Caenorhabditis elegans: one gene and its partners. The protein of the gene in region 1 interacts with the protein of each later gene in a pairwise test. Each region holds a gene or a part of one and is shown on either strand. Other genes may lie near its edges.

Region 1 (7,337 bases):
GCTGGAGCGCATTTGTTGTACAGTTTTTTTTATTTAAAAAATCATTGCCGGAAAATGGCAAAACAAATTCAAAATTTCATCGTTTTTTTCAGTAATTTAAATTTTTTGGTGGCGGTTTTGTTTTGTACGCTGGAGCGCATTTGCAACACGGTTTTTTTTTTCAAATTTCGAAATTTCTAGTCGTAAAATGGAAAAAAAAATGAATTTTTAGAAAGTTTTTAAAAAATCATTTTAAAGTTAATTTTCGCTGCGGGACCCAAGAACACTTTACGAAAAAATCAAGAAAAAAGCAAGAGCTCCCCGAATCTGATAAAAGCTAAAACGTGGAGCAATAAGAAAAATCGAAAGTCCGAAATAAAACGAATGAGGCTATCCATCCTCTCCGCTGGTGCAGAGAGAGAGGAGAGACGCAGACAGCCGAGACATGAGTGACCAAAGGGTCCCGTCCTTCTCCTGCAGGGTTCAAAATATTGATCTTCTGCTCTCCGTGTGTTCCGCATGGAAATTCTGAAAGTTAAGAAAACCTAAAACAACAAAAAAGGCTCAAAATTTAAAAAATTAAATTCATTACAACCAAATCGAGGAATTGTGTTTTTTTTTGTTTTCAAAAAAAAAAGTAGAAATTGTTCTAATCGGGGGGTGACGGATTGGTTGGGGGGATGCATTTGAATTAATAATCGAGAGCTGCTTCCGTGAAAAAAACTGGAACTAAGAATGACAAGGACCAAGTAAGAATAAGGCGCAGATTGGGTGGTGGTGGTTGAAATGGTTGAGAAGAAGAAAAGCAATGAAGCAATGGACACAAAAAAAATATTTGAAAAGTGGTGGAATTGTTTTTTTGTTGTTGGAATTAAACGGGAAATTTGGAAATTAAATCCAAAAAAACTAGATGCTTTGTCTATATTCTAAATATAGGTACATACCCAGAAGGAAAGGAAAGAGAGAGAGAGAACCTAAGCAAGTGGTATCACAACACGAAAATTATCACACAAATTCGAAAAAAAGAAACATTAATTGATGGAGAGAAAAAAAAGGAAAATCAATGGGGTGTGGGTGAGAAGAAATATGAGGGTTATACAATAATTAGGCGGCCAGCAAAACCAAAAAAAAACAACGGGAGACTACTCGTTTCCAAATCCTTCCGTCATCTCGATCGCCATGCTCAACTTCTCGACGAGCTGATCGTAGCTTCTGTATGGCGGCAAGTCGAGTCGATTGAAGCACGTATGCGACCGTGGGAGCCAGTTCTCCTTGCCGACACGCTCGATACAGAATAGTTGTGGTCCCGTCGAGCCCATCAGCTCGGAAAATCCACCGACTGGCACACGGCACGTTCCTGTGACGAATTGTAGGAGCCGGGCACGTTTTTCTTGGTCCAGACTTCGAACCCATTGCCAGAACCAGGTTACCTATAAATGTATTTTTTAATTAAAAAAAAAGAAGTTTTAATCAAATGTTCTCCCCTACCTGCTTGCTCTGTGGAGCATAATGTCTGTAGACAGTATTTCTCTGCCAATCGTCCACATCAACGTCCTGCATTCCGCAGAGCAACAGCTCGAGCTCTCTTTCATCGAAATACTGCATCCATTCCAACGGGAAGACCGAGTTGAAGCCGGTGAAGAAGGCTTTTGTCTGTTGTTCGACACCGCGATTGAAGCGCCACTCAACGAGCAGTTCGATGTATTCAAGCTGGAAAATTGGGATTTTTTAAATTAAATTATTTTATTTAAAAATTATTTTTATAAGCTCTAGCTAATCCAAAATCTCACCTTATTCTCCTCGGTAACAGCAATCTCTGTACCGCCCTCCTTAAGCTCATAAGTCTTGAGCTCGCCGAGCAGCTCGTAATCGGCAACAAAATAGAGCTCCATATCGCATTCATCGATATTGTTATCCTTGATCCACATCAATGAATTATAAATTTCCGAATCGACTTGTTCAATGTCCTTTAAAACAATCTTCTTGTTGAGCATCTTTTTGTAGAATGGCATCGTGAAACCGCTGTAGATGAATTTCCCGTGGAATAGCGCCTGGAAATTTGAAAATAAAGGAATTTTCTAAGAAAAACTATTTGTTTAAATAAAAATAACATTTTTAGGAGAAAATGAAATATATTGATCTGAAAATTTGAGATCATCGAAATTTCCAGGTTTTTTGAGCTGAAAATAAAAAAAATCGATATTTAAGGATTTCCTTCATCAAAAAACAAAAATTTTAGATCCAAGTGCTTTTTTTTGGAATTTTCTGCAAAATTTAACGTTTAAAATTTTAAAATTCAATTGTAAAAAGCGGAAAACTCGATTTTCTCTCGATTTCGCAATTTTTCATCCAATTTTCAACTGATTTTCAATTAAAAAAAAACACTCACCATGGCAATGAATCGTCCAATATACTCGAAATACTTAAGATGATCCGGGTTAACAAATGAAGCTGGATTGATTTGAAGACTATAATTGTTATTACCAGCATACATGAATAGGCAATACATTGGATTCAACACTTCGTGCGACAGCAGGAAGAACCATTCTCTGGCGACACCTCCATAGTCGAGACCCTCTTCGCCTCGGAATTGAATGTACAGCCGCCGGCGTAGATCGACTGCATTTTTACGCATAATTTCTTGGAATGAGTCTTCGAACACGTTATTACGGGATACTGTGATTTTGACATGATTAGGCACACTGTTTGACTGAAATTTACATCAATTTATAGCTAAAATCAAAGAATTTCTCGCCCTCCCTTACCAAGCATAAATATCTGAATTGTGCAATTTTCCACCGGAAACTCTTCTCCATGGCCATTTGAACACCGACGACGCCGAGCGGGCCGACGGGTTTTCCGGTTCTTGGATCATTATAGGTGGTGGTTTTAGACTGGTGATCGATGAAGAATGGAACGCCTTGCTCGGTGAATCGCATTTCCCAACCATCCGGAAGAGGTTGGTCGGAGCCTCTGAAACTTTTAAAACATTAAAACTGTGATTTTTGATAGAAATATTATTGGAAAATTGAAAATTTTCACATACCCCTGTGTTCTCGGATCTTCCCATTGTGTCGTTCTATTTACATGATTCACAAAGTACATTCTCGACGTATTCGGATCCTGACGCTTCTCCCATCCTTCGGGCAATGGTCCGAGTGGATCGTCGGCGCTAAAGTTGTTCTGCTGGAGAAGGAAACGTTGTTCCCATTGAAGCATCGCCTGATCTCTTCCCGATTGCCATTGTTCGTGTGCTTCAAGCATATCGGCTGTCGGTCGTTGCCAGGTGGTCGTGCGCGTGTTGTGATCCACGTAATACACCTGAAAATGGATTGTGCACCTGGCGTGAATTTTTAGACATTTTTCAAGTAAAAATCACTGGAAAGTTTTTTTTTTTTCGATTATCAAATAATTGGAGACCTTGGTTAAAATAAAGAAAATCAGAATTTTTTATCCGTCGTTATAATTTCCTAATTTTCAGGCCGTATTTAAAGAAAAAATTTCAAAATTTTCTCGAAAAAAAAAATTATGGAGGATCAAAATTACGAAAAATTGCCTGAATTCAGCAAAAATCTTCAATTTTGTCAGTTTTTCTGTGTTGGAAGTTGATTTTTACTTTATTTTTGGCCTATTTCGATGCAATTACAAAAATTTGACAAGAAATCAACAAAAATAAGACACTAATTATGTAAAAATCAAGATTTTAGCCTTAAAATAATTTATCAGGTCACTTTTTTCGGCATTTTGGTCCAGGTATCCGCGGCTACGGTAGATATTTTTAATTTTGATGATTTTCGCATCAAAAATATAATCAGAAACGCTTTTCTCGTGCTAAATCTGCTTTTTCCGCCGGAAAACTCACTCTTCCTCTCGGATCTCTTCGCATTTCCCATCCCTGTGGCAATGGCTGAGTAGACGGGCGTTCCCACGTGGTGCTCTTGGTGGTGTGATCCACGTAGTACTTGCGTCCGTATTGATCGAAACGCATCTCCCATCCATCGGGAAGCTGTTCTTCTGCTCCGGCGGCCGGGGTGCCGCCTGCTGTTGCTGCTGCTGCCGCCGCTGCGGTACTCTGCAAATGAAAAGTAAACATTAAGAGTAGTAGAGTAATGCATGTATTTGACAACATTTTGTGTATGATTCTGTAGCATTAAAAATGCAGAGAAAAGAATAAAAAACGCTCATTCACGCTCTCCTCTAGTGTTCATAATTATTAGAGCGCGCTCGCGCGGCACCTCACGAACTCCAGAATTCGCGGGATTTCGTTTCGCGGGGACAGCAGTTTTTGGCTATTTTTGGCTTCTATGGAAATTATTTTTAACGAAAACTGAAGGTTTACAGAGAGGAGTCACCACGACTTTCTTTAAAATGTATCAGTACCGTCAGTTTTTTCGATTTCAGAGTCGTAAAATATGTCATTTTGTAGAGAAAAGTCTGTTTCAAAAAAATCCATGTTTGAAATTATGAAATTGTTCTTATTAAAAACTGAACGATTGAAAAATTCGATTTTAACGTAAACTTGTTGATTTTTTGAATATTTTTATATTAGAAATTAAACAATTAAAATATCAAACATGGATTTTTGTGAAACAGACGTTTCTCTACAAAATGACATATTTTACGACTCTGAAATCGAAATACTGACGGTACTGATACTTTTTAAAGAAAGCCGTGGTGACTCCTCTCTGTAAAACCTTCAGTTTTCGGTCAAATTTCATAATTTTACACATTTTCAATTTGGATGATGCTTCTCAACAATATTTTAAATCAAAAAATTAAAAATAATTTCCATAGAAGCCAAAATAGCCAAAAACTGCTGTCCTCGCGAATTCTGGAGTTCGTGAGGTGCCGCGCGAGCGCGCTCTAATAATTATGAACACTCCAGTAGAGCGTTTCATGAATAATTAAATAATTCAAAATGGGTCTCGTCACGATTACCGTTGGAGCCGCCAAAGTGTCACGCTTCGCTGTCGCCGGTCTCCGCGCCGAGGATGACGTGGCAACGCCATTTGACGTGGATGCCTCTGAACTTGCAGACGCGGCGGTTTCAGCTCGTACTCCTGCGCTTCTTCGTTTCCGCTCTGGATATCCGGAGAAAATTATGTTGAGAGTTCCGATTTTCGAGGAGTCTTTGGCCAGCAAAGATATATTGTTGATGTCGTTTTTGACTGAAATAATAGATTTTTTGAGAAAATTTCAATAAAACCACTTACACTCTCCATTCTCATTTCTTGTGAGACTCGAAAGCTTCAGCTTCGCCATCCCTAGACACGTGTCATCGAATAGCTTGGCTTTTTGCAATAGACGAAACGAAATTGTCGAAGATTCATTTGCATGAACGTTGAGATGTTCATTCCACTCGGGCGCCATCGTCTTCTTCTTTACAGTCGTCTTTTTTGGCGCCGCCGATGACGTGTCACTCGTGATTTCGACATAGCAGTCGGCTGCCTTGGTGAACGACGCGTTGACGACTATGATTAAGAGGGGGAAATATTATTAGAACAGATGCAAAAAATCTACGAATTGTTACCTTTTACTGTGACTTTTGATGGTTTTGCCGACCCGTTTTGTTGTGCTGGAGTTCCATTACTCCCGGAACTACTCGGCTGCTGAGATGATGGTTCATTACGAGCCATTCGATCATGAAACTGGCTGAAAATTTCGCAATTCCAGAAAAGATTTAGAAATGAAAAGTCGGCGAGAAAGGAAAAATAAATCCACGTATCACAAATGACAGCGAAACGGTGGGAATGAAGATGTTAAGTACTACTAGTCAGTATTATCGATCGATTTCCAACTGATAACACTGGAAACCATGTGAAAAAATCTATAACAGCTCGCAGTAACTTGCCATTGGCTGCTGGTCGATGCGTTTTGTCATATGACCTGCACATCTAACGCCGTTTCGCCCGCGCATTCAAACGTGTTTGTTGGGGCGCGCTTGCTATTCAATAGCATTTTTCACATACACACAATTGGTATTTGCTGTTGATATAAACTGGAATGTCATGATAAAGTGATAGCAGGTGAAATGAATCACAGTCATACGAGTAAAGAATTGGAAGAAGTGAAAGTTCTCGATCAATAGAGGGGTGTTTTACACAAACAGTGATTTAATTGTTCTTTTCTGTAAAAGGTAGGTCAATTCGAAGATGCAATTGTTTTTTAAACATAACAAAAAAGTTAAAAAAGACTGATAAACGTTTACTTGGAACGGAAAACGGGATAAGCAAGAGATACAACGATAACAAGAGTATCTGCAAGGTCATCAGGAAACAAGCTACATGGTAAGGCTCATGATGGCATTGACGATGTCATTGTCAGCTTCCTTAAGCGCCCTGATGGCCTTGTTGCGGGTGGTGTTGGCTTGGGAAATGACAAGCTCGATGTCCTTCTCCTCAATGCCGGTGGAATCCTCCTTAAACCGTACAATTAATGTAATAAATCCGATTAAGTTACTGAATTACCTCAACATCCTCATTCTCGTCCTCTTCGACAGTCTTGAGTTGTGGGGCCTCACGAGTTGGCTTCAAGTTCTCAATAGCAGACATCTGGGCGTGTTGGGTGAGATCCTCGATCTTGGCTTCTCCGAAGATGATGTAGGTGTCAGATCCTGGGCTCTTGAACACGTCTGGCTTGTTTATGACGAAGAGGATGTTCTTCGACTTGCGAATGCAGACACGGGAGACACCAGTCACTTGCTTGAGTCCGAGCTTGGAGAAGAGCTTGCGGGCCTTCTTCTCGGAGCGGCTTTGCTTGGCCTGCTTGTCGATGTGATCTCCAAGTCCAGCAGCCTCGGCCACACGTCTTTGCTCCTCGGTGAGCTCTTGCTCGACGGCCTCGTTGTCGGAATCATCCGAAACGTCAACTTGTGGCTGAAATATAGAAATTTAAATATTTTAGACGTCACTTTGAACAACCAACCTCCTTGACTTCCTTCTGGCGAGTTTCGGTGCTTCCGGTCATTGTTTAATGTGGTAACCCTGAAAAAAACGTTTATGAAAGTTTACAAATTTGAGAGAAACAGGAGTTTCAAAGAGAATATTACAAAAAAAAGATGAAAAACTTGTAAATTCAAAATATCCACACATTTTTCTTGGTAGGAAAGCTTTAATCGAGGAAATTCAAGCTAACTTTTGCACAATCTTAGAATATACCCATTACTACTTATTCTAGATTGGATTTTCATGTTTTTGAGGAAAATCTGAGCCAAAATTAAGCCAAAAAAGCAAAAAAATAGTTGAAAAATCGCGCAAAATTGGTGAAACTTCTCGAGAAAAAAAGGGGTGTTTCTCTTTTTGCTATATGACCTGCACATCTAACTTCGACCCGCGACGTTCAAACTGTGCGATGGAGCG
Region 2 (7,337 bases), on another chromosome or scaffold:
ATCTTCCTCTACGTCACTTTCATTTCAGAACCTTACATATTGGCTCACTTCAAATGCCTAACCCCAAATTGAGAAATTCAGATTTTTCTGGAAAAACAACTCTGGCCGAAAACTTGAATTTTCTGAGAAATTTTTTTACTGAAACTCGTTTTTCTTGACTATTTTTTGAAATTTTAAATAGTCCCCAAAACTCACTATCTCCCTTTATTCTCAAATTTCCTCCACAACGTTTCAATATCTCCATGGATGCAAATTTTCAGAGCCAGTGCATTTAAAGCATTTCGATTTCTGATTGTTAGCTTCCCTGCTACATTCTGTCCAGGGGAGTATACAGCGGCAGGATGGTCGAATTCAATGAGAAATGTGGTGTCTCCCATTTTTTGTAAGTCTGACATGAAATTATACTATATTACAGCTTTACATCCAATATTTTTCTTTACAATTAGTTGATATAAATAAGTTCCGAATAAAAACTAGAAAAAAAATCTTAAAAAAGAAACAACTCAGTTCATTCCATTCTCTTATCAACTAATAACTTTTATTTATAAAACATGCACCATGTTTACGTCATGTTTTCTTGCCGGAAAATTGATAAAGTCTGAAAACGTGCAAAAACGTCATAGACAACGTACTTCATTGGTCTTTTTTTTCTTTTCAGTGCAAACTTTGAGCATGAATCAGAACAATATACTATTTATGGGTTATTTGTGTATTTATACTTTATGCGATGACGTGGTTCTTCACAAGTTTTTAATGTTAACATGGTTATTAAATATAAATCGGTGTGCTTTTTTTAAAAATTCGCTATGAATTGGAATTTATCGATTATATATTATTAAAGTTATTAAAGATAGTGTATTGTTAACGGGGTTTTGATTTAAGATACCCTGAAAAATCTAATTTTGGCTAAAATTTTGATATTCCATTTTTATTTTGAATTCGCTCCAAATTCAGAAGGCAAAATATATTTTAAAAAACTAACCAAAAAATTTACAGTCAATAGTTTTTTTGTTTAAATTGCTTTGGTTATGTTCGTGCAAAAAAAAAGTGTCCTGACTATAAAAATAGCAAATTTTCCGTACTTTCAAATGAATGTATGACCGTCTTTGTAGCTACGAAATTCATTTCAAAAAACCCGAAAAATGTTTTTTTTCAATTCCACCACCATAAAAAAAAGTTTGGAAATTATATTAGGTTCGCTATGTTTAATTGTGAGTAGAAAAAAAGTTTCCTGACTTGAAATATAGCAAATTTTTTTCTCTTTGAGAAAAATGATTTGTCGCGTTTAAACGCGACAAAACATAGTTCATAGTTGGCCAAAATGTTTTTTTGTAAGCTTAATAAATTCCTCTAATTATTTGAAACAGTTCCTACAAAACCGTTTTCATTTATTTTATATTTTAGAGCAAAAAAGTACGGCATATAACTTCTAGCTGGAGATTTAGGAGAAATTCAAATAGGAATTTTAGGAAAAAATTAAAAGCCTCCTTCCTCAAATTTTTTTTCAAATTTTTAGTTATTTTTGTTACTCAATTTCAACTCTAACTTCAAGATATTCTTCAAAATATGAGTTTTAAATTTTTATTTAGTTCTGGATTTTTTATGATTTTTTTTTCATTTTTCAAAGAAGAAAATGTATTGCATTCTAAATATTTTTACAGGAAAATTGAAAATTTTTCGCCGATTGCCATGTTACGTATTGGATTTTTTGTCGTTTTTTTCCAATTAAAAAAAAATAATTTTAGAGAAAAAAAAAACGAAAAATCAAAAGAGAATCAACTATGTGTAATTTTTTGACAAACTTTGCAAAAGTTTAGAAAAATTCTATAATTATTTTAACAATCTTAATTATAATAATAAATCATATTAATAATAATAAATTTTAACAATTTAACGGTCAATTTTTTAAATTTTAGAACAAAATTCCCCGAATCCGTTGATAAATTTCTTAAAATAAATTGAAAAATTAAATTCCTACATTTTGATCTATTCCATCCCATTTTACTACTTGTTTTTATGATTTTGGTCTCTAACACATTAAATACCATCCCAACATACAATATTTGTTCTTCCCCCCTCCTAGGTCTCTCAAAACAAATACTATCTAGGTGTCCAAAATGCATGCACATTTTGGAAAATTTCGCAAACCTAGTGACGGAATTTTCACCGTTTTTTGTTAGTCACCAAATAAGCTGGCTCTACTGATAAGTGCTATCATTGAATTTAATGTATTCTTGAGAGCAGTTTCATAATTATTTCAGTGTGCTGGAAACAACTTTTTGATTGTGATTTTATATTTCAGAATCGATATGATTTTCTGTTGATTTTTTTGTAATTTTTAATGTTTAAAGTTAGATTATTACGTCGAAAACATAAGCTTTGAAAAATTCCAGAAAAATTGGTATTATAAACTTTTGTTCAGGAGTTTTTAGCCAAAAATAATTAAATGTTTTCGCTACGAATTTTCAGTCTAAACTTACTAGTAAAGTTCTTCCAAAAACATTTTCAGCCAAAATTTTATAGCAAAGAATAATTCAGTCAAACCAGAAAATATTATTCTATACAAAATGCGCTATAAATATTTTCCACCTAGAAAATTTAATCAAAAATTTACAGACCAAAAATATTGCGATAAGCATTTTTATGCCAGGTTTCCAAGCCAATTTATTCAGTTTGATCTTGCTAGGCGAAAATTCAAAAAAAATTTTTAGCCCTCTAAAAACTTCAAAATGTTCAGCTTGAAAATTTCAGTCAAAATTATAATTTTGAAATTCTACGCATTTTTAAAAAATTCTCATACTATTAATTATGTCAGCTAATAATAATTAGAATATTACCAGAAATGGACGACTTGCGAATTGAGTACGACGCTCCGAACGATGTATACTTCCCAGGACAGGCTGTCACCGGAAAAGTAATCATACAGAATCGTGAATGGATCAAAGCGAGGTTTCTGAAAATTTGCATTCACGGAGGTGCACATACGCATTGGAGTGAAAGTCGCAGCACATATAGGACGTGAGTTTTATTTTTTGAATTTCTGATTTCAGCACTTTTTACTTGCTTCCCTTAATAGTCGTTTACCTAAAGACCATAATTCAATAAATAGTCACTAATCGGAAAAATACGATAGCTTGTCTTTTTTTTACTAGACTGCTTACCTGTAAAATAAACCCTTTGAACATCAAAAAACAAAATGCCTTTCAGAAACACACGTGGAGAAAGGGAACGATTCACGGAGAATGTGAACTATAACGCGACTATCAACTATTTGACCGGAGAATCGATTGCATGGCAGTCGAGAGATGGAACTGTGAGTTATTGGTTAAGCTGTCTTCACGCTTTCAACAAACTCTTGTTTCAGGACCGTCTTCCAGCTGGCACCAATGTCTTCCCATTTGCTTTTAACCTCCCCATCAATTGTGCGCCAAGTTTTGAAGGCTGTCACGGACATATTCGATACGATGTCCACGTGGAATTAGACAGACCATGGAAGTTTAATAAAAAGTCGAGGAAATGCTTTTCGGGTATATTCGTTTAATAACTTTGGGTTGAATCGAAAAATGTCGTTTCAGTGATTCCGGTGTTCGATTTGAACATAACTCCAACTGCAATAAACCCGATGGTGAATACTGCATCGAAGAATACTGGACTGATACTCAAAAAGGGATTAGTTACAATTACGGTAAGGGATTATCGAATTAAATTGAAGATAGGTAATGTGGTAGAAATGTTAATAATTTTTTTCACAGTTTTTTGTCTACTACTATAAATTAGCTACTAACTCAAAAACATCATAAAATAAAATAAAAACAACCTTTGTACGCTTCTCTTTATCAATTTGCAATAAAGCACCATTGACAAAATCTTATCATCACAAAACTTTTGGAGTACAAGTTTTTCATTATTGTGAATCCGATTTCAATACTTTTTGCTCACCAAATTACACAGAAATTGTCATAACCAAAAATTTAGAGGGTGGCATATAGAACTTGCACGCACTGTATATACTGACATTAATAAAAGAGTGTAGCTCTAAATACATCAATAATGGTGAAGAAATAATATTGAAACATACTAAATTGTTCAAAATGTAAAAAAGGGGTTATTTGAACACTAACAGATGGAATGCAAAGTTCAAATAGTAATCACTGACGCTTTATTCATGATGTATCATTAATGATTTGCTACTTAATTTTCATATTTGATAAAACCCAAAAAAAACACTTCCAACAAGTTTTCCTTGAAAGAATATAATACTTATTCTTCATCCTATAATCTACGTCTGAACTTTAAATGATATAACAGTTGAATACCATTATAGTATGAATCTTCAGGTAAACCTCCCAAAACGCGGCTACGTCGCCGGAGAAATCATGCCAATCACCGTAAACATCGATAACGGCTCAAAGGTTGCCGTCTCAGAAGTTAGCGCAAAAATGACACAGCTCTCGCATTTCCACGCAAGTCACGGCAACATGATCGGCGTCACAGCCCATACTCATAATCGTAACGACGAAAAGTTGGTTGCCGAATCGAGAAGAGTAGCTGATGTTCCAGCGAAATCCCGTGGGCAAATGGTTCTTTCGATGAAGATTCCAGCGATTGTTCCGTCTTTTAATTGTCCGATTATCGCCGTGGATTATTGTCTAACCGTTAAAGTTTCAACTCAACAGATTTTCGGAGGTGGCTTGAAATGTGAATTCCCATTGATCATTGGAACAATCCCAATTCGACAGATGAATCAAGCAGGCAATTTTTTTTTGAATTTTAATGGTATATCCTCTATCTTCCAGCTCCTGGAGCAATGCCAACTATGCCATCGGTCTCCGCTCCTCCATATCCTGTAGTCGCCGGAGCATCTGCGTCTCAAGCAGTCTACCCGACTGCTCCATCGGCCCCGCCAGCGTCTCCCGGAGGAGAAGCTCCTCCAAGCTATGAAGAGTCTGTACACGGAGCTGGGAAAGTTGAGGATGCAGAGGTAAGCTTCAAGCTTGAAATTCTCAGCAAAATGCTCACGGAAAACTTGCAGGCCTTCGCTCCTCGCTACCCAGTCTACAACAACTTGCCACAACAGCAAAATTCTCAACTTCCACCAGAATACGCACCTCCACTGCCAGCAAAAAGTGGATTTTAATTTATTTTAAATCGGTGGCCGAATTTACTGGTTTTTCTCGGCCATGTTCCGCAGTTTTGTTCCGACTTTTCAGATGATAATAAAAAAACGCTCCATTTTTTTGTGGACAATTTCCGAAAAATTTCCGAAAATATACAGAAAAAAATAATTTCAGGTTTTTTTAACCTCGCGAATTTTTAACGGTGATCACGCGGTTCTGGCTTCCCTCATCTTTTGAAATGGAAGAGTTTGCCGAACTAGGCCATTTTGGCTTGGCAATATCTGGGGTAGATTTACGGCGCGTTGCGTGTCGCGTCGCGGCTGGTTTTAGCTGTAAATTGTTTGATCGTGGCGAGACCCACTCTGAAAAATACCATGTGCCTTTAAGTACGAAATTTGGGGAAAAACGTTAAATCAATTTTTGCCAACATAAATTTGAATTTCGCGCCTAAAATTTTTTTAAACATGAAAAAACCAACAAAAAATCAATTAAATTTATTGAGGTCGTCATCATTATCCAAGCACATAATACTATACAAAATTTATAATTTAAATTCGAACAAAAAAAAGGTAATTTATCGGAATACAACCGTACGCAACGTATCCTCATCCCGAACCTCCATCACCGCCTCGGATCCATCGTTAAATCGATACGAGATGCCTCCGTCAATGACCAAATGAGCATCGTAACCGCGGCTCTTGATGCAAATTTTATCGGCGAATCCCCGTGGATCGGTTGGTGGGAACGTCGCGTTGAAGATCGGATCACGGACTGAGAATGCGAGTTCTGAAAAATTAGAGAAAAATTGATTTTGAAAAAAATTTAAATTTTAAGCAAGGAAATCTGTTTTTCGGAATTTTCCTTCTTTTTTTTTTGGAAAATCCACCTAATTTTTCGCCTTAAAAATTAGGGATTTTTTTTTCGAAAAAATACAATTAAAGAAGTCGAGAAAATTTCGAAAAATCTACATTTTTTCCAGATTCTTAATGCTAGGTTTTGAGAGAATTTTTTTTTTAATTCCAAAAACATTTTTTTTGGAAATTTTCAGGATTTTTTTTCGATTTTCCTTGAAAAATAATTTAGTTTTGTTTATATTTCTTTATTTTTAGGCTTTTTTTTTTGGAAAAAATACCAAATTGTCCATGTTTATCCAAAAAATTGTGGAAATTATTTAGAATAACTAAAACTTTCAAATTTTGGAATTTTTAATTTTGGAAAGAAATCTGAATTTTAAATCTAGGTTTTGAGAATTTTTTAAAAAATTCAACAAAAAAATTAATTTCCAATTAAATAATTTTTCCAAAAAAAAAAGTTTTTTAGAAAATTATATGAAAAATTTCTAAAACTTCAAATAGTTTCGTTTAAAAAAAATTGAAAACTCGGATAATTTACAAAAAATCTTGAATTTTTATTGTAAATCTTTTTTAAAAAACAAGAAAAAATTTAAGAAATTCTGGAAACTTTTTTTTTTTTTTTGAAAAAAAAAACTGAAGTTTTTTTCAATCCAAGAGCAAGAAAAATCCAGAATTTTTATGATTTTCCGAGGAAAAAATATCCAGAAATTTTTGATTGAAAAAAACTAAAAATTGAAATTTTTGAGTTGAAATTTAAAAAAAGTATAATCCCTTACGTTTGCGATCAGGATCAAAAATCAATTGTTGATTAAATTTCGTGCAAATCTCGCTAACAGCATTCTTATCCCCATGCGGGATCTGTGGCAGATTACAGTGCTCCGCAACAATTTTCATCAAATCCTGAACGCATTGCTCGGTGAGCTTATTGATATTGAAATTCCACGACGTGGAGCCCGTTCCTGTACAAATCGTGATTCCCGAACTCTTTTGTTTGAGCATTTGAGCATCGTTAATTCCAATTTCATAATATGACACACGTGATGATAGACTTTCACCAATGAATACTTCGTTGAGTGCAAGAACCGGTAGTTCTACTGTCTCTTTTTCCACTTCTGGAATTTCGACGGCTTCTGAGATCATTCGTTTTTTGCTGAAAATTCGGAGATTCTTTTTTCAAACTATATTATATTTTAATTTCCGCGCAAATGAATTTTTAAAAAACATTTTCGCGTTTTCCGAAGCATTTTTTTATTATTTTCAGACATTTTAAAGGTTCTATCGGAATTAATTTTTAAACTAATACTTTTAATTTTTTTAATTTGAAAATGTATCAGATGTTTTTGAAAAAAATTTATTTAGCTTTTTT
Region 3 (7,337 bases), on another chromosome or scaffold:
TCTAGGTTCATTTTAAAGATATCAATATTTTGTTAACTACGAAATGATAGAAAAAGAACTAGCAAATATTTTGTTAGTTGGCAATGTTTGAATAAAACAAACGATAACTGAGATATAATCTATCAAAGTTTAACAATGGGGATGCAATACTAATACGGTAGATAAAAAGTTGTCTTGATACATGTCGCAGAAAAATATGGGACTTTTCTATACCTAGATTTTTGGCGCAACTGGTGAAAACCCGCAAATGACTTCTACTTCTCTAGTATTACTCCGCGAATTCTATTAGGATTTTGCAAATATTTTGAAACAGTAAAAATTGTAACTAACTTTCCGATCTTTCTAGGAATTTCTTCACCAAATGTTCTCTTTCAAGTCCACATTTAGCGCACTCGGTAAGGGTCTTACCTACCACTCACAACACCAAAGTTCGACCCCACGGCCCTCGCAACTTCTTTCTCATGGGCGTGTCGATATGGGGGGTAAAATCCCGGTATTTTCTCCCGCAATTTGTATCTATCGAAATGTGTCCTTCCCACCCAATCATTTCTCTCTGTGTATCTTCCCTTCCAATGAATTATTTGACCTTCGTCATCGCCTCCTAGCGGGCGTCTTCTAATAGTATAGAAGGCGTGTGTTATAGGGAGATGGGGGTGGAGAGAAGAAGTTGACTACTACTGACTTACAAATTACCGCCTCCTCCTTCCCCGTTGCCTAATACGGGTGAGAGGAGGTCAACATGTGTGGTGGGAAATTGAACGGAATTCGGAAGGAATTGAAAGCGATTTGGGGAGGGAAAAGTTATTACTAATTGTTTTCCAGGTGTTCTAATTGTTTCGAATTGGCAAATTTACAATCACTAATTTTTGTAATTAAATAAATGAAAAATTACTGTTTCAAATTGTCTTTTAAAGCGGCTAACAGAACTGAAACGGTAATTTTTTTTGTTTTTTTTGGAAAAAAAATAGACTGTAGAAACAGCTGCTCAATTTTTGTAACGTCAGAGATGTGCTTTTTTTGAACTGGGAATGTACATTACTATGACTAATTACGTAATGTATTTTGAATTTCTTACTTTAAATGAATGTTCTATCAAATAAATTCATATCCGTTTCTCTCTCGCGGCAAACACAATAATTTTCTCGAAAAAAACATTGAATTAATTAAAAATATGAAACAGCAGAATTTTTCAAATTAGAAAAAAAAACTATCTTCGCACTATTCTCGCATCTGAAATATTGCTTCTAAATCACAACCAAACACATTAATTATTACTAGTGAAGCAGCTATTTTTTTCTGAAAATTATAAATTAAATTTAACATATATTTTCACTAAAACTACAAACTACAATTTGAGCACAGTAAAAAATTGCACAACTTTTGTAAAATCGAATTTGTAAAACGAATTAGTGTTTCTTTATACAGCAACTAATCCCACATATTTCAAAATAAGTAATGCAAGTGAAACAGTAAATTTAACAAAATTAACCTAATTTTCAAATGATTCTCAACCGAGCTTAAGTTCAATACCTATCCAAATCCCAACCAGTTTTTCATTCCAATTCCAATCCATCTACTTTCTCTCTCCACCTGTGTCTCTCACCTCTACCATACTATTTCTCCCACCTTTTCAATCGACAGTTTTTTTGCTGTTTCGGTTTCTACTGGATACACGCCTTTGGGGCGTGGAAATAGAAGAAGATGGATGGATTTTGGAGGAAAAGTTGAAGGAAAACTAGAGAATGCTGGGGCCCGGATACTTATTATTTCTTTGATTCGATTTTCTTTACTTTTTCCCCAGTTACAACAGATTTTGGAAAATTTCACGAAATTCAATTTTCTTTTGTTTCTTTGGATGTTTTTAAAAAGGGATTTTGTAGTTTGAAAACTTGAAAGCTTACAGAAAATTTTATGAAAATTTGCATTAAATTTTCTGCAGTTTCACACTCTTTATTTCAGCGTTATAGGGGTTTTTGCAACATTGCTTCAATTTCAATTTTTCCTATTGCTAAATATAGAAAAAAAAGCGGTGGCGAATTCTTTATGAAATTGTCTAAAATCCATCTTGTATACGTTTCAAAAAAAATTATGCTGTTTCAAAAATGTAACTTGTTAGCACAGAATATACGGTTTTCGTTCAGATTCGTTTTCAATCTCAATTTTCAAAATCTTCAGTTGAAGAAGTTATCTTTTTCTGTTTTTTCTTCGTAAATCTGAAAAATAATCACTGCTTCAAGTTATTTACGATTTTTAATTGATTTTGAAATCTAACTCAATTACTTTAATTAATTCTGTCATGTTAATACATCTACAAAAATAAATCTTACTCCTATATTTTTCATTCAATTTCAGATCTGATTGACTTGATTTTCAAGAGTATAGCTATTGCTAGAATTTTTAGTTGTTTTTAAATTTATCATTGATTTTCCGAGTATTGTTTTATTCACTAAAATTTCCAGATTCACAAAAGTTTTTAGTGAAAAATAAATCAGTGAATTGAAAATGTTTTAATTTAAAATTCAGATTTTTCTCTCAATTTCTCACTCTAGCCGCTTTAATGTTCTCTTCTCTCAATCTTTTTGTTAATTTTTTGAAACAAATTATCACTGTTTCAAGTTTTTTTAAAAATAATTAATCAATTTTCAATTTTAATTTTCACATAAATTGCTTTCGCTTTCATGATGTTATTTTCAAAACAATATTTTTCACTATTTTCATTTGTTATATAAAACATGGTAAAACTTCCCATTATACTCTCTTTTTGCTTTCTTAACTCTAGTTTCCAAATTAAAATTAAAAAATTGTTTCTAAACTTCAATTATATTTTCCTAAAACTTTCCACGAAAATTAAAATTCATTAGAATTTCTTACAGTTACGAAAAAGGAGCCAAACTTTGAGATTTGAATTCAAGTTTTCCACTTTATAATTAAAAATGAAAATTTCTTCCTTATTGTAACATATCATTTCGTTAATTTTTTAAACCAAAACTTTAAAATTTTCCTGTTTCACGTTGTTTATAAGAAACATTGATTTTTTAAAAACATTGCTCGGTGGATTTTCTGAGTCTTTTTCAAAAAATAAAACAAAACTTTTCTCATGTTTTTATTGGTTTTCAAAATGTCATATATTTTTTACTTTTCCAATTCCAACTACAATTTTTCGAAAACCCAATGCTTCAATTTTTCTTCCATAACTTTAAAGTTAAATTAAATTTGATTTTATTTCAGCCAGTCAAATGCCATTTGCTTAAAAAGCGAGGAAATTTATCATCAGTGAAGAAGTGTAAAACATCTATTAAAAATGATGCGTCGAGGTGGATCGATGGGTCCACCGAGCGGGGATCCATATCAGAGGTTAGTATATTGTTTTATGAAAATAATTTAAACACAAATACAAGGCAAATTTGATTACATATTGAGATAGTCAAATTTTACAATTGAAATAAAGTTTTTAAAGCTTTAAACTTGTTTTGTATTGAAAATCCAAGTATTTGATAATTACTCCCAAAATTGTGTCAATTTTCTAAAAATTGCTGACAATCTAAAAGGTGTGAGACGAATTAACTCAACAAACTAAGGAAAGCAGAACTAGAAAATATTTGAACTTTTTTTTGAAATAGAAGTTATGAAACGGTAATTTTTGCGAAATTTTTTAACCTAAAATTTAACTTCAACGTATTTGAAAATCCATTACTGCAAATAAATTTTGAGACTGAAATATTTCTCAAAAATTGACTATTTCGCAATAGATGTTAAATGAAATTTAATAAGTCACCAGAATTTCAAACAGGATGAAAATGAAAAAAAAACAGCTTCAAACATTTTTGTTGAAGTAATTTTTTTAAATCTAAATTGCTTCCAGCGACTTTTTAGAGCTGTTTTCTGTATGTTGATGGCTCGTAATACCCTAAAATTCATTTTTTTTCAAATAGAAAAAAAAATCGAAAATATCGCTGTTTCAAAGAAATGTTATATTTTCAAAGTTTTATCAATGAATTGTTCTGCTGACCTTTTTATTATGAGAAGATCAAATTAAATCATTTATCAAATTGAAGTCGATCCCCTATGAAAGTTCGACTAAACTGACTTCAAACCGCTTTTTAAACCGAAAATTGCAACATTCTTACTGAGTCAATAAAAATTAGAAAAATTAAATGAAGATGCTGAAACTGTAGAGTGTTTCAATTTTCGGTTTAAAAAGTGGGTTGAAGTCAGTTTAGTCGAACTTTCATAGGGGGTGGAATCCTTTAATCAGAAAATTTTAAACTGGATGAAAGAAGAAGTAAAAACAAACAAATAACTGCTTCAGATTCATGTTATTTAATTTCTGAATTTACTTTTCCGTTAAAGAATTTACTTTAAACTTTTTTTTTAGCAAATTAAAAATAATCTTTAAAAATCTAAATCTTGAAAAAGGAAAAAAAAAATGTGAATATCAAAATTTTGACCGTTTCACATTGTTTTTTTTTAATATTGACATTTTCTGGTAGCATAATATCAACAGAAGAATATTACTTGTTAATAAAAAAATATTAAGAAAATTAACTATTTCGCTTTCCTTATAAATATTCGTTATCAGATTTTATAAATTAGTAAGCTCTCGGAATTTTCTTAAATTTTCAGTTTTAAAGTCAAAACGACTTCCTTAATGTTCTAGAATAACTCAATCAATTAATTAACCAATTAATCCGTTGAAATGTCCCAGTTCGACAGGATTTATTGAATTTTCGAAATGAAGTTGATTAATTAGTTTTCAAGATGAATATCTTATTTCTCTGTTTCACCACCACACCTCTTTGGGTGTGGTTTTGGAAACTTATTTGGAATGTGAACGATTTTCCTAATGCCAATGAACTTTTTGCATTTTTTAAATTAGTTTTTTGAAACAGTGATTTTTTGTGAAGTCGTTTAATTGTAAGTTTTCAATATTAAACACCTTAAAAGTTAATTTATTGCGAAACCCCCTATAATAATGATTAGAATATTTCAAAAGTTGATTTTGAATTACTCTGATAATGCGTTTGAAATAATTTTTTCTGTTGAAACTAATTTGTTTTTTATGGTTTCCCTGTCTTCTGCATTTTTTTGAAAGCACATCATTGATAAAATGTTTCTAAAGTTTTATATTAAACATTTGGAACCGTGAAAAATTTTAAAACAACTCCAATATAGCTAACTTTTTTACATGTGCTTGTTTTTTGGAACAGTTTATTTTTTGTGCAAATTTTTAAGTATAATATTTTCAACATTTTACCATGTTTCAATGTAGTATTAAATTTTACCTCCACCATAAAAAATTATTGATTTCAATCTTATTGGTACATAACTCAAATGTTGAAAAAAAAATTTGTTGCACAATTGGAACTGTTTCAGAATTTCCCTACTTTCAAGAACAATTTTTTTTGGATATCGCAGTGTCCAAGTTTTCGAAAATTTTAGTCAGAAACCTGAAACTGTATCAATTTAAGCAATTAAAGTAAATTTAAAAACAATTATTGTATTCTTAAAAACCTGAAAATTGAATTGTTTAAAAGTGTAATTCACTGGAATTCATCAATATTCAAACTTTTCACATATTATGTAGCAAAGTGAAAACAGTAGAATTTTTAAAAAATTTAGAAAAGTCCTATACATTTTCAAGTTGCGATCAAAAATGGAACAAAAAGAAGCTGTTAAGTTTTGCTTATTCAGTCAAACTGTTACTATAAAATATAAAATTCAAAAGTTCAAGAAAATCATTTAGATATGTAACCAAATAATATTCGACTAATTTCTAATGAAAATACCTACCTAAAATCTAAAATCGTAATCACGGTTTCACAGAATATTATTTGGTTACATATCTAAATGATTTTCTTGAACTTTTGAATTTTATGTTTTATAGTAACAGTTTGACTGAATAAGCAAAACTTAACAGCTTCTTTTTGTTCCATTTTTGATCGCAACTTGAAAATGTATAGGACTTTTCTAAATTTTTTAAAAATCTTTGTGAAAAATGCGACTCTCTCTTAAAAAATTCTCTGTTTTTGTATCAGGGGTGTGCGGCAAATTTGCCGATTTGCCGAAAATTGCCGACTTGCCGAGCTCGGCAAATTTGCCGATTTGCCAAATTCGGCAAATTTAAAAAAACCAGCAATTGCCGATTTGTCGAGCACGGCAAATTTCAAAAAAGTAGATTTGCCGAATTTGCCGAGCTCGGCAAATTTCGAAATTTGCCGCACACGTCAAAAATTTTACAGTACAATTTTGACTAAAATTATTGATTTTTTCGCCAAAAATTTAGTAAAATGACACAAAATTGAGTTAGTTTTATGCTTAAGCAGACATACTACACGGAACTAATTCAGAAACCAGATGTGTGTTAAGAATTCGGTAGTTTTGGTGTTCCAAAAAACATCAAAAATTATCAAAATTTTCCGAGTTTGTTAAGCACGGCAAATTTGCCGAATTTGCCGAATTTGCCGTGCTCGGCAAATATTGAAAAACCAGCAATTGCCGATTTGCCGAGCTCGGCAAATTTTGAAAAACCAGCAATTGCCGATTTGCCGAGCTCGGCAATTTTTTCCATTTGCCGCACACCCCTGTTTTGCATGTCTTCATCGACTGCGGATCGTTACAAACATTAAAACAATGTAGTGAAATTGTATACCATTAAATTTCAAATGAAAGTTAATTTTGGAAATTTTCTGAAAATTTCACTGTTTCGACAAAAGAATATAACAGTTTTCTTTTTGCGACTCCAATTCCGTAATGTTGTATTTTCCATGCATAAATTTTTAAATTAAAAAATACTGATTTGTATTTTTTGTAATAATATACTTTCAATCATAACCTTTGTAAAATTTGTCAGAAAACCCAAAAAAAATTGATAAATACATACCATTTTACGTTTTTCTTACTTTGACAATGGTTTGAAAAAATTAAAATTCACCAGTTGCTTAATGAAACATCTATATATTTTTCTCTCTTTTTAAAGAAAAAATCGCTTAAAATTAGACAAAAAACATTGAATCACTATAATGAAATTGTTTAGAAAAAGTTAATTGTGGAAATTTGAAAATTTTTCACTGTTTCAACAAGTAATTTTAAGATTTTCCTTTTTGACCTCTTCAGTTCGTTGAAAGCTGAACACTTACATTTATTTAAAAAAAGTTAATTTCCAGGAAAAAATGTACATGTACAATTTTTTGAAGCACCTGAAATCAAACCAAAAAATTAATGTAGTGAAATTGTATAGATGTAACTTTGTGTAATGTTAATTTTGGAAGTTTTTAAAAATTTTCACTGTTTCAACGAATAATTTTTGAAAATCTCCTTCTGATTCGTTCAATACCGAC

Evidence for each region.
Region 2: the proteins of wwp-1 (region 1) and arrd-7 interact in a two-hybrid assay, tested with the Caenorhabditis elegans proteins (2 studies listed by BioGRID).
Region 3: the proteins of wwp-1 (region 1) and eps-8 interact in a two-hybrid assay, tested with the Caenorhabditis elegans proteins (2 studies listed by BioGRID).

Annotation. Positions count from the first base shown.
Region 1 is NC_003279.8:535,416-542,752, reverse strand, and holds wwp-1 (E3 ubiquitin-protein ligase wwp-1), read right to left. Parts: upstream 5,632-7,337; 5' UTR 5,616-5,631; coding exon 5,510-5,615; intron 5,451-5,509; coding exon 5,193-5,450; intron 5,148-5,192; coding exon 4,918-5,147; intron 4,052-4,917; coding exon 3,842-4,051; intron 3,668-3,841; exon of another isoform or gene 3,511-3,667; intron 3,301-3,510; coding exon 3,026-3,300; intron 2,959-3,025; coding exon 2,745-2,958; intron 2,690-2,744; coding exon 2,369-2,689; intron 2,031-2,368; coding exon 1,770-2,030; intron 1,690-1,769; coding exon 1,468-1,689; intron 1,410-1,467; coding exon 1,122-1,409; 3' UTR 555-1,121; downstream 1-554. Other genes in the region: icd-2 (Nascent polypeptide-associated complex subunit alpha), read right to left, coding at 6,260-6,397, 6,447-6,854, 6,904-6,945. UniProt on the Caenorhabditis elegans protein: E3 ubiquitin-protein ligase which accepts ubiquitin from an E2 ubiquitin-conjugating enzyme in the form of a thioester and then directly transfers the ubiquitin to targeted substrates. Ubiquitinates klf-1.
Region 2 is NC_003280.10:12,058,125-12,065,461, reverse strand, and holds arrd-7 (Arrestin C-terminal-like domain-containing protein), read left to right. Parts: upstream 1-2,840; 5' UTR 2,841-2,842; coding exon 2,843-3,018; intron 3,019-3,207; coding exon 3,208-3,313; intron 3,314-3,364; coding exon 3,365-3,527; intron 3,528-3,575; coding exon 3,576-3,685; intron 3,686-4,337; coding exon 4,338-4,752; intron 4,753-4,796; coding exon 4,797-4,981; intron 4,982-5,032; coding exon 5,033-5,137; 3' UTR 5,138-5,230; downstream 5,231-7,337. Other genes in the region: arrd-8 (Arrestin C-terminal-like domain-containing protein), read right to left, coding at 196-377; nadk-2 (NAD kinase 2, mitochondrial), read right to left, coding at 5,692-5,903, 6,748-7,121.
Region 3 is NC_003282.8:14,876,262-14,883,598, forward strand, and holds the start of eps-8 (SH3 domain-containing protein), read left to right. Parts: upstream 1-3,301; coding exon 3,302-3,354; intron 3,355-3,408; exon of another isoform or gene 3,409-3,429; intron 3,430-3,567; exon of another isoform or gene 3,568-3,588; intron 3,589-3,780; exon of another isoform or gene 3,781-3,802; intron 3,803-4,000; exon of another isoform or gene 4,001-4,021; intron 4,022-4,105; exon of another isoform or gene 4,106-4,126; intron 4,127-4,345; exon of another isoform or gene 4,346-4,366; intron 4,367-4,495; exon of another isoform or gene 4,496-4,516; intron 4,517-4,590; exon of another isoform or gene 4,591-4,614; intron 4,615-4,667; exon of another isoform or gene 4,668-4,688; intron 4,689-4,820; exon of another isoform or gene 4,821-4,843; intron 4,844-5,075; exon of another isoform or gene 5,076-5,096; intron 5,097-5,298; exon of another isoform or gene 5,299-5,322; intron 5,323-5,388; exon of another isoform or gene 5,389-5,409; intron 5,410-5,532; exon of another isoform or gene 5,533-5,553; intron 5,554-6,578; exon of another isoform or gene 6,579-6,599; intron 6,600-6,743; exon of another isoform or gene 6,744-6,765; intron 6,766-7,113; exon of another isoform or gene 7,114-7,134; intron 7,135-7,330; exon of another isoform or gene 7,331-7,337.